2 linked regions of the Ovis aries genome follow. The protein of the gene in region 2 interacts with the protein of the main gene of each other region in a biochemical or structural test. Links are inferred from orthologs where the notes say so. Each region holds a gene or a part of one and is shown on either strand. Other genes may lie near its edges.

Region 1 (7,461 bases), on a different chromosome or scaffold from region 2:
GACCCCATGGACTATACAGTCCATGAAATTCTCCTGACCAGAATACTGGAGTGGGTAGCCTTTCCCTTCTCCAGAGGATCTTCCCAACCCAGGGATTGAACCCAGGTCTCCCTCATTGTAGGTGGATTCTTTACGAGCTGAGCCACAAGGGAGACCCAGGAATACTGGAATGCGTAGCCTGTCCCTTCTCCAGGGTATCTTCCCAACCCAGGAATCGAACCAGCGTCTCCTGCACTGCAGGCAGATTCTTTACCAGCTGAGCTACCAGGGAAGCCCAGAGGGCTTGGACTGCGGTTTTACATGCGTGCCAATTCGCTTTAGTCATGTCTGACTCTTTGGAACCCTATGGACTGTAGCCCTCCAGGTTCCTCTGTCCATGGGATTTTCCAGGCAAGAATACTGAAGTAGGTTGCCATTTCCTGCTCCAAGGGATCTTCCCCACCCAGAGATCAAATCTGCATCTCTTGTATCTCCTGCACTGGCAGGCGGGTTCTTTACTCCTAGTGCCATCTGGGAAGCCTGGGGCTTTATATACCTGAACTCAAATCTTCACTGTAGCCCTGCAAGGTAGGTGGAACCATCTCTGCTTCTGGGCGAGCAAAGTGAGACTCAGGGACATACAGAAAGTGCCCAGGGTTACATGGAGCTAGTCAGCTGGGAGAGCCAGAATTCACCCAAATCAGCCCTTGCCCTTTTCCTACAGGAAGCCAACTCTCAAAGCCCAGGGACTGAGAGTTCCCTGTGGCCTGGTGGTTAGGACTCAGCACTTTCCTGCCATGGGTCCACGTTCCGTCTGGGGTCCTGCAAGTCATGTGGTGTGTGTGCTGTCTATGCTTAGTTGCTCAGTGGTGTCCAACTCTTTGCGACCCCATGGACTGTAGCCTGCCAGGATCCTCTGTCCATGGGATTTTCCAGGAAAGAATACTGGAGTGGGCTACCATTCCCTTCTCCAGGGGATCTCCCTGACCCAGGGATCAACTCAGATCTCCTGCATTGCAGGCAGATTCTTTACCATCTGAGCCACCAGGGAAGCCCAAGTCCCATGGTGTGGCCACCCTCTGAAAAGATTGTGCAAAGGACTTCTCCTATTATTTTGACCACCAAGACTGGGCTTTCCTCTCCCAGAAGCCCCCTCTCCCACTCTGAAGATCTTAGGGGTTCCAGCATCAGAGAAAGCTGGGCTGCCATACCTTGCAGGTGCAGACAGCACACTTAATTAAGCCAAACGGGGGCACGACAGGGTGCCACCGGGTGCCTGCTGCCCGCCAGCTCCGGTCACCATCAAAATAGCAGCCTGGTGGGAGACAGTGCCCAGCGCCATTAGTGCTGAGTTCATTACCTAGGTCCACAACCCAGGCTGGAGCTTCAGGCCAACTCCACAGTGGTCTAGCCCCAGGGCCCACTTGTGGGCCAAGGCCTTTAATGAAGCCTCTCAGGTGTCAGTTGTGACCTGTGCCCCTCAACCACCTCCATCCCAGTAAATACACTCCCCCTCCCACTACCCCCCATCCTACCCAGCAGCTCCGCTTGACTCCCCACCCCTGTATTCACACACTTCCAGCTCACCCTCGCCAGGGTCCCTGTTCCTTGGCAGCCCCGGGAGGTCTTTGACATCTTGTTTCTCTGTGGATCCAAAGAAATAATGAAGGCAGAGGTTGGCCCCCTTCTTGCTTCCCTCCCCAGAGGCCTCACTGCCCCCCATGGTGGACCCTCCATGACCTCTCCACTCCTGCAGGGCACTCACCCGGGCACACAGGGCAGCACTGGTCCGGCGCCTGCACTGGGCTTGGACAGCTGGGCGGCGGGCACACCACAGGGTCACAAATCACCGTGCGTCTCTGCAGGGAGAGATTGAGGGTTGGTTCCGGGGCTCCAGAACCCAGGCCCCAGTGCACCCTTCCGGGGCCTCCTACCTGGCAGGTGCAGAGTGAGCAGAGCGGGTCATAGTTAGGAGCCCAGCGAGCCCCGTGGGGGCGCTGCTGCCCCTCGAAGAAGCAGGTGTTGGGGTCTCGGAGCCGACCGGGGCCACCTGGTCTGGCTGGCGCTGAGGTGTCTGGGCCCGGCACAGCGGGCAGTGGGGCCACCATGGCCGCCACCGCCTCCAGAGCCCCAGGCACCTGCACTTCTTTGTCCCCTGCTGCCGCCAGCCGCAGGCCGCCCACCTCACATTGGTTGGCAATGTGCACCTGAGAGGAGAGGCAGGTTGAGGCAGCACCCAGGCTCCCTCTTGCATCTCCACCAGTGGCAGCCAAGACACCCAGAGCACCCACTCTGCCCCAGAAGGATGCTCTTAGCCACAGCACTCATCCCAGCCACCAAGGACAGGTGGTCAGCTTCTTGCCTCATTAAGTACCTAGTCTGGCTTCATCCTCTCAGCGAGCTAGGCAGTGTGTGCAATTCTACCGCCCCCAGGGTTCGGAGAGGGCAAGTGGCTAACAAAGAGCACCACAGTACTCACCCAAATCTGACCCATCCCAACAGGCCCGCACTGCCTCCCTACCTGCCCTCGCAGCTCCCCTTGGGGGCTCCCCTTGGTGGTGATCAGCAGGGAGGCAGAGCCCTGAGCCAGGTGCCGCAGCAGCTCGGGCTCCAGGTCCTTCACGACACCCTGGGCCTGGCAGCAGACAGAAGAGGGGACAGAACAAGGCACTCTCGGACTAAGCCTGCCATTCCCAGTTTCTCAGGTAAGGAAACTGAGACCCAGGGAAGTTAAGTAAGGTCTCCAGAGAAGCAAGCCCATCAGCAATGGTGCAGAGCTCAGAAGCCCCAGGTCTACAGCAACCCAGCCCATGTCGGGGGCTTGGTCCATCCCACCCACCCCTTGGAGGTCCAGGACATTACAAACTACCCACGAGATCCCAGCAGAGTAGGACACAGGTGGATAAAAGGATACTAAAAGGCTGAACCAGATTCGTACCCAGGTCTGTCTGACTCCTGAGGCTTGCCTGCTCTCTGTTTCCCCTGCCCAGGCCCACAGAGCCTTTCATGCTAAAAAGCAGCTATTTTCCAAACTGCCTCGCACCAACACCTCCTCACCTCCGGGCCGTAGAATCCCTTCAGCAGCCGCCGGGGCCCCGGCATTCCAGGAGGCCCGAGGAGGTGGGCAGTGATGGTGCCCTGCTCTGAGCCACCAAGCCCTGCCAGCAGCACTTCATAGTGCAGGTGACAGTGGGTGTCCAGGGAGAGCCAGGCGTGCCCTGCTGCCTGGCTCTGCACCGGGGGCAACACCAGGGCTCCTGCCAGGGGCACAGGCAGTGCTGGATCCAGACAGAGAAGAGATGACTAATGAGAAGATGGCTGAGAGCAGTGACTTAACCCTAGCATTTCCCATCTCCCTCGGCACAGACTCCACAAACTAGCAGGCACTGTCCACAGGCCCAGGGCTGGGGAAGCAGCAAGGGAGAGGCCTGCATTGTGGTGAGAGGGACCATCTCCCGGCAGGGCCACCCTGAACATCCTCACCTTCTCCAGATGCCAACTGGAGCTCAGGTGCAGAGAAAGAAGTGCCAGGCTCTGGCCCTCTCGCACCATCCCTCACATGCTTGAATTAGAGGACACCAAAGGTGGGGGCAGACCCCTGGAGCACTCACTGTCATGGCGGGCGCTGTGCCCACTGTAGGGCAGGGCGGCCACGTGGCCCCGCAGCTCTCCATCTGGGAAGTCCTTGGTGCCCACGTTCAGGAACAGCTCATTCTGCAGCAGCATATGAGCCCCCCGGGCACCCAGCCCAGGGCAGATACCCACGGCCTGAGAGGGCAGGGAAGAGTGAGCCCAAACTGCAGCCTGCCAGGCCCCGGATGAACCCTCCTCAGCTTTCACACAAGCCCAAGATTCTGAACCCTTTCCATGCTGCTGTGCATCCCTACTAAACCCATACACACTGCCATGCACCAGTAACACTGGCTAAGAACCGGCAGGCCCAGGTTCAAGAACTTTCTCTGCTACTTCCTACCTATGCAACCCATCTTGAGGAATTATTTAAGCTCTCTGATCCTTCTCTTCATCATCTGTTAGATGAGTAATGTGAGGGCCAAAAATAATGTAAGCAAGGCAACCAGTGCAGTTTGTGGCATCTAGAAAGGATCAATAATAAATGGCAGTCATTGCTATTATGTTTAACATTATATGATCTGCTGCACTGGCCTCCCTATGTAACTCCTTCCACTGGATACAAGCTTCCTGAAGACAAGAGCCACATCTGATTTTCTTTGTACTGCAGTCCTTAGCCCAAGGCTCACTAAAAAATGAGTCCAGTGAATCAATGCATCAGTGAGAGAGACTGCAAGTGAGTGAATAATGCCAAACATCCCTGTTCATCCAACAGGCTTCCCACGGCCCCCTAACACTGTCAACTCTGCTGCCTGGGCCCTGCGGCCCTGGTCTTCCTGAAGCACTCACCCTGTGTCCTCCCAGCTGGAGTCCAACCATGTGGCAGAGGACAGTGTGCTGGTTCCTCCGCTGAGGCTTGGTCTCCAGCGTCATGGCCACCACCTCACTGCCTGTACCTACCACCTGTACCTGGAGGGCAGGAGTGGGGAGGGCAAATGAGAGTAGCAGAGAAGGGCTGGGCCCTGAACCTTTGTAGTCTAAAGCCCCGCCCTGCCCTGCTGCCTTCTCACCTCCTGCACCGCCCCTGCCCCACCCCTGACTCTTACTTGGTAGATCAGGGAGCCGTTTCCTAGCAGTGTAAGGCTGGCTGAGCCCGCTGCACCCGTCTGAACTGGGATCAGGGCATCCGCCCCGCAAAGGACACTTTGCAGGACTGCAAAGGGGAGGGACAGGTGGACGCAGGCTTGCCCCACGGCCATTCACACCCCAGCCCCCAGGATCCCTCCTGTACCCACCCTGGCCCCTCCTCTGGCACTTTGCTGTGCCTCTCACTGTGTGTGCCCGGGGTGCCCGGCTTCACCCTGCCTCACCATCGCAGCTCTGCCTGGCTGCAATGTGTCCACTGATGCGTAGCCCTGGCCCACTTGCCCTCTCCAGGGCCATCTGCAGCTCCCCCAGCACCAGCCAGTCCATCTCCTGGGCTGTCAGGTTGGGCAGCACTTCAGCAAAGCCCGGTTCCTGGGGGCAGAGGAGGGTGCGGTGGGCACAGCAAGAGGCTAGAGCAGGCGGCAGTTAGAGCCAGACCCTCACTCACCTGGGCTGAGGCATTGGCTTGGAGCTCTCGAAGTAGCTTCCCCTGGTGTAGAATCCGGAGCCACAGGGGAACCTGGGCTGGTCCTGCAATAGCCACACACATGGAACCTCTGAAAGATGGGTGCTCTCCCTACCCTCTTCACGTGTCTGCCCCCATCCCGCTTACCCCCACTCCTGGACTCCAGGAGCCCACGGAAGAGCAGCAGAAAGTGCAAGGAGTCCTCTGTGTCACTGAGAGTGAGTAGGGCGATGCCCCCTATGCCTGGCTGTGGGGGCCCTTCCAGGGTCAGGATGGCACTGAAAGTCTCTGGGGAAAAAAGGACCACGAGAGCCCATCAGAAAGTGCCCCCCTCAGCCCACTCCATTTCTGGGGGGCCAAGAAGACTCTGAACTTCACGTCCAGGAGAGATTGGCTCCCCTCACCTGCAGCCAGGGCCCGGTGCCGAATGAGAGGTCCCCAGACCTCCCCTGAAGGGTGAGTGGGTGTCACAAGTGCCACATACAGCTGTTCTGCCCTAAGGAGTCGCAGGGACAACCGAGGCACTGCCCGCCACACCCCGCAGACCTGGAGCAGAGAGACAAGAAGGCCCTCTCAGTATACAGGACATGCCTGCTGAGAGGCCCATGTCTGGTGAGAAAGGAATACGGGAAGCTGTCCCCAGGCTCTCCTAGGATGTGTAAGAAAGGGCCCTGGAACCAGATGCCAGGGTTCAAATCCCAGATCCTCCACCAACTAGTTGTATGACCTTGAACAAATCACATTCTGCTACTGAGCCTCAGTTCCCTCATCTGTAAAATGGGCATCATAATGTCAGTGCCTCTCTCCCACTGGGCTGTTGTGAGGACCCGAGGAGGCAATGTAGAGCATGCTCTCAGCATAGTGCCCAGATGGGATAAGCACTCATAAATGGCATCATCTCACCAGGCCATCTTGGGTGGGCGCTGCAGGGTGTTCAAACAGGATGCTGCCAGTGGAGTCAGAGAAGCGGATTCGGGTAGGGCGGTCCAGCCTGGTAATGAGCATCCCTTGAGCACCGGCTCTGAGCCTGGGCCAGAAGCGCTGCTGCAGCCTCTCCAAATTCTCCCTCCCTGGCCCCGGGCTGACCCCTCCTCCCTCCTTCCTCTTTCTCACCGCCGGTAGGAGATGGAGAACCGCAGACTGGAGCGCTGCAGCGACACTCGAGCCCGCGCCACCGCTTGCGACCTTGGCCCTGTCAGCAGCGCCACGAAGTCTGCGAGGGGAGGAAGATGTCCCTAGTTCCGTCACCCGCTGCTGCGGCCCGGCGCCTGTCACAACCCCAGTTCCTACCCGGCCTCTGCCTACCCGTGTGGCCGTCTCCACGCCCCCGATCCTCAGCTCCTGGCTCCCCACGGTCGCTGTAGCTTCGGTGCTCTGGGTCGCGTGGATACTCGAAGGCCAGGCCCGTCGGCTGCTTTTCCGAACTGCTGTGCTCTGCACCGAGGGTGGGGGACACGGGTTTCGGGTGGGCAAGGAGAGGGCCAGTTGACCGTTCCATTCCGCCCAGCCACGCATCTCGGCCCTGCCGCCCTCCCCTCTCCGCGGAGCCGGCCTTACCCTGGGGGCAAGTCTGGCAGCAGTGTCCAGGCAGCTGGCGCGGCTGCCCACACGCCAGGGTTGGGCACTCGGGCTTGATGTTCTTGCAGCTGACCCTGCCTGCGCCCCTTGCGCGGCGACCCCACTGAGGCTGCTCACAGAGAAGACGGAAAGCCGAGTGAGGGCAAGACATCAATTGTTGAGAATCAAAGGCAAGCCGAGAAGGCATCGGACAAGGTCAAGGTCGGCCCACGGAGTCAAGAGTGCTTTGCTACCTACAAGCTGCGTGACTCTAGACAAGTTACTTAACCTCTCTGGGCTGCGCGGTCCCCGTCTGAAAAACGGGAGCAATGATACTCTCTGTCTAACGCGGTTGTACTAGGAGTTAAGTGAGAGATGAAATGGAGTTGGCTAAGAGCCTGACACAGTGGACGATCAATAATAGGCAACACCTGAGACTTGAAGGGGGCGCTTCCTCTCCTCTATCCTTCCTCGTGCCTCCTCCGCCAAAAAAATTATCCCAAATATCTGCAGACTGGCTTCTTTCTCTTCAGCAGCTCCGGGTCCATCCGACGTCCCAAGACCTCAGCGCTCCCCGACCCACAGGGCCCCCGGCCACAGCCATTGGGTCCACTCACCGCCTCGCAGGCGCACAGCACGCAGCGCATCACCCCGAAGGGCTCCCCCAGGTCCGGGTGCCACGTCTCGTCCAAGGCATAGACCTTCCCGCCGAAGGAGCAGCCTGCGGGGACGGGCTTGGCTGG
Region 2 (7,461 bases):
GTGGGTATGTAGAATGGGAAGGGGAAGATGGCATTCTCTGAAGGAAGAGAGGATTAAAAAAGAAAAGAAAAAAAAAACACCAAAGAATTCACAGGCTCTGCCTGGAAGAAAATAAATCCACCTCTGTGGTTTTCCTGTGACCTTAGTTAAAACCCCATCAAGAAAATTCTTGCCCACTGCCTCTGAAAGTACCATTTTATGGACCAAGAAATGATGCTCAGTGTCTGCTTGGACAGCAGCACCAATATGCTTTGGGACCAGCTGGCTTGTCACCAAGAAGAGAAACTGGCAGTGGAAGAGATGAGGGTATTGTTGTGGCTCGGCCAGGATAACTGCCCAGCGCGGCTCAGCTCAGCTCTGGGCCCTGGCTCTTGCCCCAGCCTCTGCCCTCATTCCGGGCCCTGCTCAGCTGCCTCTGGACCAGGGCAAGGGAATGAGGGGGCAGAGGGAACTCCAGTGCAAACTGCCTTGGAGACCCAACTGAAGTGGTGCTGAGCAGGCTTGGGTCAGGGTAGGGTCTATCCCAGAGGCTGCAGGAACCTCAGTGTCAGCCAGAAATGACCTGGTTTCCTGGGTGGGGATGGCCCAGGGCCAGGTGGGCCTTTGTGAGCTGGGAGACCCAGCAGGCTGGATCTCTGGCTCCTGCAAAGTGCCAGGCAAGGGCTGCTGCACACGTCTACAGAGGCACGGGGTCCCTGCACTGGGTGAAAGAGGTGAGGAGCGTGGGGGCCTCACCCCTGAGCCACAGTAGCGTCCCAGCCTGGGGGCAGTGCTGTCATAGCCGTCGAAGAGCTCCATGTAGTCATAGCCGCAGTCGCTCTCCTCTTCCACCTCGAAGGTCTGGAACACCAGCTCCACACCATAGCCTTCCTCGGCTACAATGACCCACTCACAGTCCACTCCCCCTGGGTAGTTGTTGTCGCCAAACTGGGCGTGGGAGTAAAGGTCCTTGGTCTTCACCTCTGCCCGAACCTGGCCACCACACTCTAGAGGGAGGAGGGGGACACAAGGTTAGCTGCTGCCCCGGAGCAGAGTCGTGGCCCAGGCACTGTCCCTCCCCACGTGCAGCCCTCCTGGCCGGATGGAGGCCCTGGGACAGCGCCACATGGCTAGAGATAGGTGGGTTTGGATCCAGCCCAGGACTTGGCCTGGAACTAGTGCTCTGCTGCTCTTTCTCTGGAAAGATGCCCACGGAGGCCCGGGGACACGGCGGGTGAAAGGCCGTTCTCCATGGAGGCCCCAGGGAGGGTGCACTTGTTGCAAGACAACGTTGCTAATTTGCTCCAGTTCATAGCTGTCATGGAAGAATGCGGGCTCTGTGACGCCAGAGCTCCCGTTCTTAAGCGAGAAGATGTCCATCTGGGTTTTATGTGAAAACTCCTAATTTTTAAATGTTGGCTCGGGTTTTTAAAAAACACATTGTGGGCCAAACATAGCAGCTCTGAGAGCCATATGGAGTTCCGGGCCTCCAGTGTGTGACCCTGTGCTGGGAGGGGCCGATGAGGGCAAGGCCATCCGTGTACAACTTCTCTGAATGTCCTCTGGCCTCCAGGACACCTGGGCTCACGGTGGGGGTTGTAGGGGAGAGAAGTAGGTGGGCAGGCCTGAGCTGAAGGGAAGGAGGGGAGGCTGTCGACCCATCAGTTCTGCGACCTCCCCAACAGGTAGCTTAAGACTCCAAGAGGCCTACCAAGCCCTCAGAGACCACGGCTGGTCTGACATCCCAGGCCTCGCAGGACTAGGCTATAGCCTTTCTCTGCAGCCACACCATCCCCAGTTGACTGCTGTCATCACATGCCCACTGTTCTAGCCACTACATGACCTGCATTCACTTATGTACACCCAGAGCTATCTGGAGTTGTGGCTGTGCTTGGGCTCCTCTCCCACCTGCAATGACCCATCATCTCATACCCAGAGCAAGGCCCTGATCGTGTTTTGTCTTCTGTTGGAATTATCTGTCTGGGTCCCATCTCACCCCCAGGCTGCGGGTTCCCAGGTGGGCAAGGTGAAGGGCTCATGGCTGATTCATTTCCCCATGCCCCTCTGAGTCCCCTGCAGGGGGCCAGGGCTCCATAAAAAGTCGTTGAATAAACGAATGAGTAGATGCAGAGCAAATCCCTCAAGGACTGACCCACACTCAGGATGCTGTAACATACATGCGGCATGTTAATGAATGAACGAGTGGATTTGGGGGGTGGGATGTGGATGGGCCACTGCACAGTCAAGTGTCCTGCCACTAGGGACTCCAGAGATTCCCTCCCCATCTCTGGGTTCTCTACCCCTTGTTGTTACTGCCCTGTTTTCTGACCTTCATACCCCAAATCAGGACTTACCCTCCTTTGCCCAGAAGGCTTACTTTGCTTTCAGTAATATTTTTAAAAATATTCAGTAAATATTTTTTGAGCACCTACTGGGGCCAAGAACTAGTCTAGTTGCTACAAAGACAGCAGGGCCAAGACAGAAAGTTCCTGCTCTGTGAAGGTTTACTTCTAGGGGGGCAAGGAGAGTAGATAATAAGCAAGTAAACAAATATATAAGATAATTCCAGTTGGTGAAAATAAGCACATTGGTGAAAATAAAGCTGAATGATATATAAAAAAAGAAGAGGGCATTGCTTTATATTAGATGGGCAAGGAAGGTCTCTATACTGAGGAGGCATTTGAGCTGAGTCTCAAATAATGAGGTAGAGCAATGATTCCAGGGAAGATGATTTTAGGTGTTTCAAGCCAGAGAACTGCTGGTGCAAAGGTCCTGAGGCAGAAATCAGCTTAGCAGCCTTCAGGACATGCTGTCTCCCCACCTGGCCAGGGGCTGGGCCTGTCTGTCTTCAGGAGCTTTTTGTATACCCCCATCCTAGCCCCCAGTCTGCATTTGAGACCAGAATCAGCAGATGCCTTCAGGACAAATGACTGCATGAGGGCACCTGGCCTACAGCGGGGATCACCTGTGGAGTGGGACGCCTGGAAGCCCTTCCTCTGCACGGAGTTGTCAGAGTAGAAGCGCAGGAACATGCGGTTGCCCGTGGCCAGGACAGGCTCGGGCTTCTTGCTCCCGCAGAAGCGGCCCAGGACGGGGGCCTTGGCGTCACGCCCGTCATACACCTCCAGGTGGTCATAGGCACACTCAGGCTGGGACTCGATGTCCATCTCCATGAAGGTCTGGAGGGTGTGAGGGAGAACAGAGAATCAGGAATATGGCCAAGGGCAGGAGACGTGGGCAACAAACCAAGACCTCTGGACCCCAGTTCAGGACAGTGGCCGCTGCTGGTGGATGGGGAGAGGGAGGACCTAGGAATGGGGCAATGGCAGGTATACCCCACCATGATGCTGGGGAAAGGGCCTCTGTCCAGGCTAGACTTGCAGTTCCCACAGGGATGCTGGCCCTGTGGGCTCAGCCAGTCGCCAGCCTAAGGCGCTCTGAGTGACGTGAGGCTTTGGAGCTGATGGGAAGTAGGTGATGCGTAGATGGCATGGAGGAGCAGGCCTGGGAGTGGCACCTTACCAGCTTGACCCGGTGCCCAGGGGTGCTAGAGATGGCCCAGGTGCACTCCTTCTTGCTGGGGTACTTGTCAGGCCAGTTGGGACTGGTGATGGTGCCGCTGCTGGATGTCACCTTGTGGTCACAGCCCGCTGTGGGGAGGTGAGGCAGGGAAGGGGATCAGTGGGGACTCCTGGGTTCTAATGGCCCCTATGAAGAAAGGAAGGAAGCCGTTTCCTCCCTCCCACCCACTCCTTTCTTGTTTCTCTTGTCTTCCACTTAGAAATGAGCTGAAGGCTCACACGACTTGTTTTCTGTTCAGCCATCCAGCCTGGGGAAATCTGGCTGCTTGGTTCCAAGCTGGCCCTCGCCTGGCAGCACCTATGGAAGCAGCCCTCCCAGGTAGCCTGTGGACCTTGGAGGCCATCTGGCCACACCTCCTCTGCCCCCATCCTCTGATCTCCTGCCACGCTTCCGTGTTCACAGAAGACTTTGGCACCTGACTCAGTTCTCTCCACTCCACTCCTGCTACCATCCTAGGTGACGTCAGCAAACCCGTGGATGGTCCACCCATACGCTGACCTCCCCTGACCTTCTCAGTTCTGAGTTCTCACTTCCTTCCCCACGAGGCTCTGCCGTCACCCACAAATTCTTGGTGCTGGTGGCTACCTCTCATTCTTCCAGGGCACTCAGTGCCAGCGCACCCCTCTCCCCATTTCCCTTAACACCTTGTCAACTTTAGAGAGACCTCCACGGTGTTGATCCTTCTGGTTTCTCCCAATACTTCCTCCTGGGTTTACTTACCTTGCTTCTCCATCAGCTGGACCACACGGCCCATCACCCCGATTGCTCATCAATGGCCATGCTTGAACTGTACCATCTTGGAAAACCCCATTTGTGGTCTCTAAGTGTGGCTGGGCCCCCACTGCTTGGTATTCTTTGGACTCACCCTTCACCAGCTCAATCTCTCACCTCCTCAGCTACGGCTCCAAACCTTTGGCCCTCTCCTCAACTCCCAGCTCCCCCTCCCAGCAGACCACCTCCCCTCTTGCCTCCTGGGGAAAGGCAGAGTCTGCAAATATGAACAACTTCAACTTCCTGACCCCTACCTGCAAACTCACCTTTCCACTCACCTTCCTTCCTGCCTCATCTCAGAGAAGGTGCCCCTCACCCTGGGCAGGAGTAGATTTTCCTTCATGAGCTGGAGCTCACTGCTGCCCACCATCCGGGGACCTCTATATCACACGTTACCCACGCTCGCTCTCTCTGCCAGCTCATCCAGCCCACGAACCTTCCTATACTTTGCGCATCCTAAAACAACACTCCCTTCTGACTACCATCCCTCGTATCTCCCTTTTCTTCAAGAAAACGTGCGATGTCACGTTCTCACTGCTCATGACTCCTTGATCCATGGCAATCTGCTTTCTGCCTCGGAAAAGCACAGCCTCACAACTCCAACTGAAATGCTGATGCCCTTTATTCCTTATCATCCAATCTGACAGGTCCCTCTGAGGAAAAGCCAGTGCACTGCTGGGATGAGAAGGAAAAAGGGGTGGGTGGTGTGCAGCCTACACAGCCGCGCCTGCAGTCAGAGGCTCACAGGATGAATGCAAGGCCGCCAGGGTCCAGAGAGGAACAGGGCCCTCTCGGGCTGTGTGGAGTTGCTGGTCTCCACATTTGAGCTATGAGCTGCTTCTATTACTCATCCTCAGCTTTCCTTGTCCACACTCACTATCTCCCCACTTTTACTGGTATTCCCCGCCCTCTAATTTATTTCCACATCTGCTTCTCTTCCCAGCTAGATAGCAGTCTCCTCGAGAGCAGAGGGGTCCCCATCTTTAATTCCCCACAGAACTCTGCACGGTGCTGCACCCTCTGCGGGGGGCGGGGGTGGTGGTCAGGAAATACTGATTTGTTGCTAGCCCATCACTTGAGTAAGGAACCATGTGTGCTTCTCAAGTGACTCAGAGCCACACACAGGCTACCCTCCCAGGAATTTTACACCTGCTCCTGCTCTCTTGTTGACGCTGGTGTGGAAGGTTCCTTAGCAAAACCTTCATTTTCATTGAGAGCACAGAGAGGGCATGCAGTTTAGAAACAGCATCAGAAGGTCCTCCCCCTAGCTAAAAGATGTGGGGGCTCCATGAGTCAGGTGAACTCCGTATCTGGGAGACTGAAGTGGGGGTGAAAAGCTCTGGAGTGTCTACTCAGTGCTTCAACAGTGTTTATTCTAGTTGGCAGTTTATTTACTGGCACCTTGGTTGTCCACACAGTGACGGTGTGGAAGAGGCATCTGCCAGGCCCTGTGCTATGTGCTCAAAGCAGGGGCTCGAAAGCTTAGGGCCACCTCATGAGACAGCTGAACTCAGAGGGGTGAGGGACTGGCCCAAGAGCACACAGACACTTAAGGTCAAAGGCGAGTCTGCTTTGTGTAGCTGGGGACAGTGCATCACCAGCTGGCATGGGCCACAGTGGTATTGATCAGAGGGAGCAGGCCAGGGCTGTATTGTGTACGAAGAGGAGGTATCACGTGATATGGGAGAGGACACGAGAACTGTTTTTGAGCTTCTGCAGAGCCTCAATGTCAGGGAGGCCGCAGCCCTGTTCTAGGTGTCCCTGGGGGTCAGAGTACGTGACCAGTAATGGTGACACACGTGATCGTGCTTGCTACGAGCCAGGCACTTCTCGGAGCACATCACAGTGTCACCGCCCAACCAGGCAGCACCTACGAGCAAATCCAGGTGTGGAGGGAGGGATTCAGCGGCTCAGGGCCCACAGCTGGCTAAGAGGTGGGGCTAGGCCAGGCAGCCTGGCTCCAGAGCCCAGCTCTTCACCACTATCCCAGCTCACCTCCCTGACAGAGGGAGGCTGGAACAAAGAGACACACCTGAACATGGATTTGAAGGAGCGCTAGTTACCAGATCAGCTTGACAACAGGGCCTGGGGATAGCTGCAAGCCCCTCCCCTCCGTAAGTGTGTGTGTCTTGAATGTTGCTGGTGGAGGGAGGAGCATGGAAGGCGAAACGAGGTGACCTCAGAGGTCACTCAGCTACTTGAGTCCAAACAGAGGCCGAGGGAGACGGCATCTCTGAGCCCTTTCCACGGTCTTGGTTCTCAGGCTGCCAGCTGGCCATGGGCACTTGGGCCACTTACCTTCCTTGCAGTCATGCTTGTTGTCGTGGAGGACGAAGCCACTGCGACATTGGCATTCGTAGCTGCCGAAGGTGTTGACGCAGTCCTGCTGGCAGCCGCCGTTGTCCTTGGAGCACTCGTCCTTGTCTGCAGGGGAGCAAGCAAGGGAGGACCGGTCTGTGCAAGGGCCAAGGGCACTGGCACCCCAAGGGAAGTGGGGGGCCTGGCCGGGCATCCTCCCCACCCTGGGGGAGGCAGGGCAGGGAGCGGAGGTCAAGGCGATGGTGGGGGTCCAGGGCACTGCCTCATGCAGAGCCAGCTGAGGGGGCCCAGCTGTGCGGAGAGAAAGTTGAAATGGACGGAGGGAGGGTTGGGGTCTGGAGCTGACCAGCATGGGCGCCCTCTACCATTACCTGCTTACTGGACAGACGGACAAGTGGAAAAACAGACACATGGACAAGCAGACTGCAAGAGAAAGGAGCAGGACGCAGGGGTCCCTCTTTTACTTCACAACAGGAAATGTCACAGACACCATCAAAATGGGAGGGGGCGGGGGGCAAGGAGGGGCCCCTGTCCATGTGAGGGGGGTGGGGGCGAGGAGAGCACCAGTTCTGTCCGGCCAGAGGGAGGTGGGCCGGCAAGGCCGAGCGGAGGTGGGGGTGGGCGGCTGCAAAGCCCCCAGCCCATTCCGTCCAAGGTGAGGTTCCTGAGTAACAAAGAGTCCGGGAGGCCAGGCTGGCCTCACTGGGGGGTCCGGTTTCTTTTCTGCACTCGGAATTTGAGCTGGTGGGGGCGTCCCCGGGGGGGCTGCAGAGCTGGCCTCTTTTCTGAAACGAGAGAGAGAAGGAGAAA

The links.
Region 1: of the proteins of BMP1 (region 2) and CHRD, one has a biochemical effect on the other in vitro, tested with the Homo sapiens proteins (3 studies listed by BioGRID and IntAct). The link is inferred for Ovis aries from reciprocal best matches to the Homo sapiens genes BMP1 and CHRD.

The regions. Positions count from the first base shown.
Region 1 is NC_056054.1:203,591,898-203,599,358, forward strand, and holds part of CHRD (chordin), read right to left. Parts: intron 7,440-7,461; coding exon 7,336-7,439; intron 6,849-7,335; coding exon 6,719-6,848; intron 6,596-6,718; coding exon 6,467-6,595; intron 6,375-6,466; coding exon 6,275-6,374; intron 6,153-6,274; coding exon 6,065-6,152; intron 5,708-6,064; coding exon 5,566-5,707; intron 5,450-5,565; coding exon 5,309-5,449; intron 5,227-5,308; coding exon 5,144-5,226; intron 5,068-5,143; coding exon 4,920-5,067; intron 4,763-4,919; coding exon 4,656-4,762; intron 4,519-4,655; coding exon 4,399-4,518; intron 3,748-4,398; coding exon 3,591-3,747; intron 3,258-3,590; coding exon 3,037-3,257; intron 2,615-3,036; coding exon 2,501-2,614; intron 2,187-2,500; coding exon 1,914-2,186; intron 1,839-1,913; coding exon 1,745-1,838; intron 1,624-1,744; coding exon 1,567-1,623; intron 1,295-1,566; coding exon 1,191-1,294; intron 1-1,190. UniProt on the Homo sapiens protein: Dorsalizing factor. Key developmental protein that dorsalizes early vertebrate embryonic tissues by binding to ventralizing TGF-beta family bone morphogenetic proteins (BMPs) and sequestering them in latent complexes.
Region 2 is NC_056055.1:43,402,093-43,409,553, forward strand, and holds part of BMP1 (bone morphogenetic protein 1), read right to left. Parts: intron 7,437-7,461; coding exon of another isoform or gene 7,351-7,436; exon of another isoform or gene 7,076-7,350; intron 6,757-7,075; coding exon 6,631-6,756; intron 3,630-6,630; coding exon 3,502-3,629; intron 3,159-3,501; coding exon 2,945-3,158; intron 987-2,944; coding exon 406-986; 3' UTR 1-405. UniProt on the Homo sapiens protein: Metalloprotease that plays key roles in regulating the formation of the extracellular matrix (ECM) via processing of various precursor proteins into mature functional enzymes or structural proteins.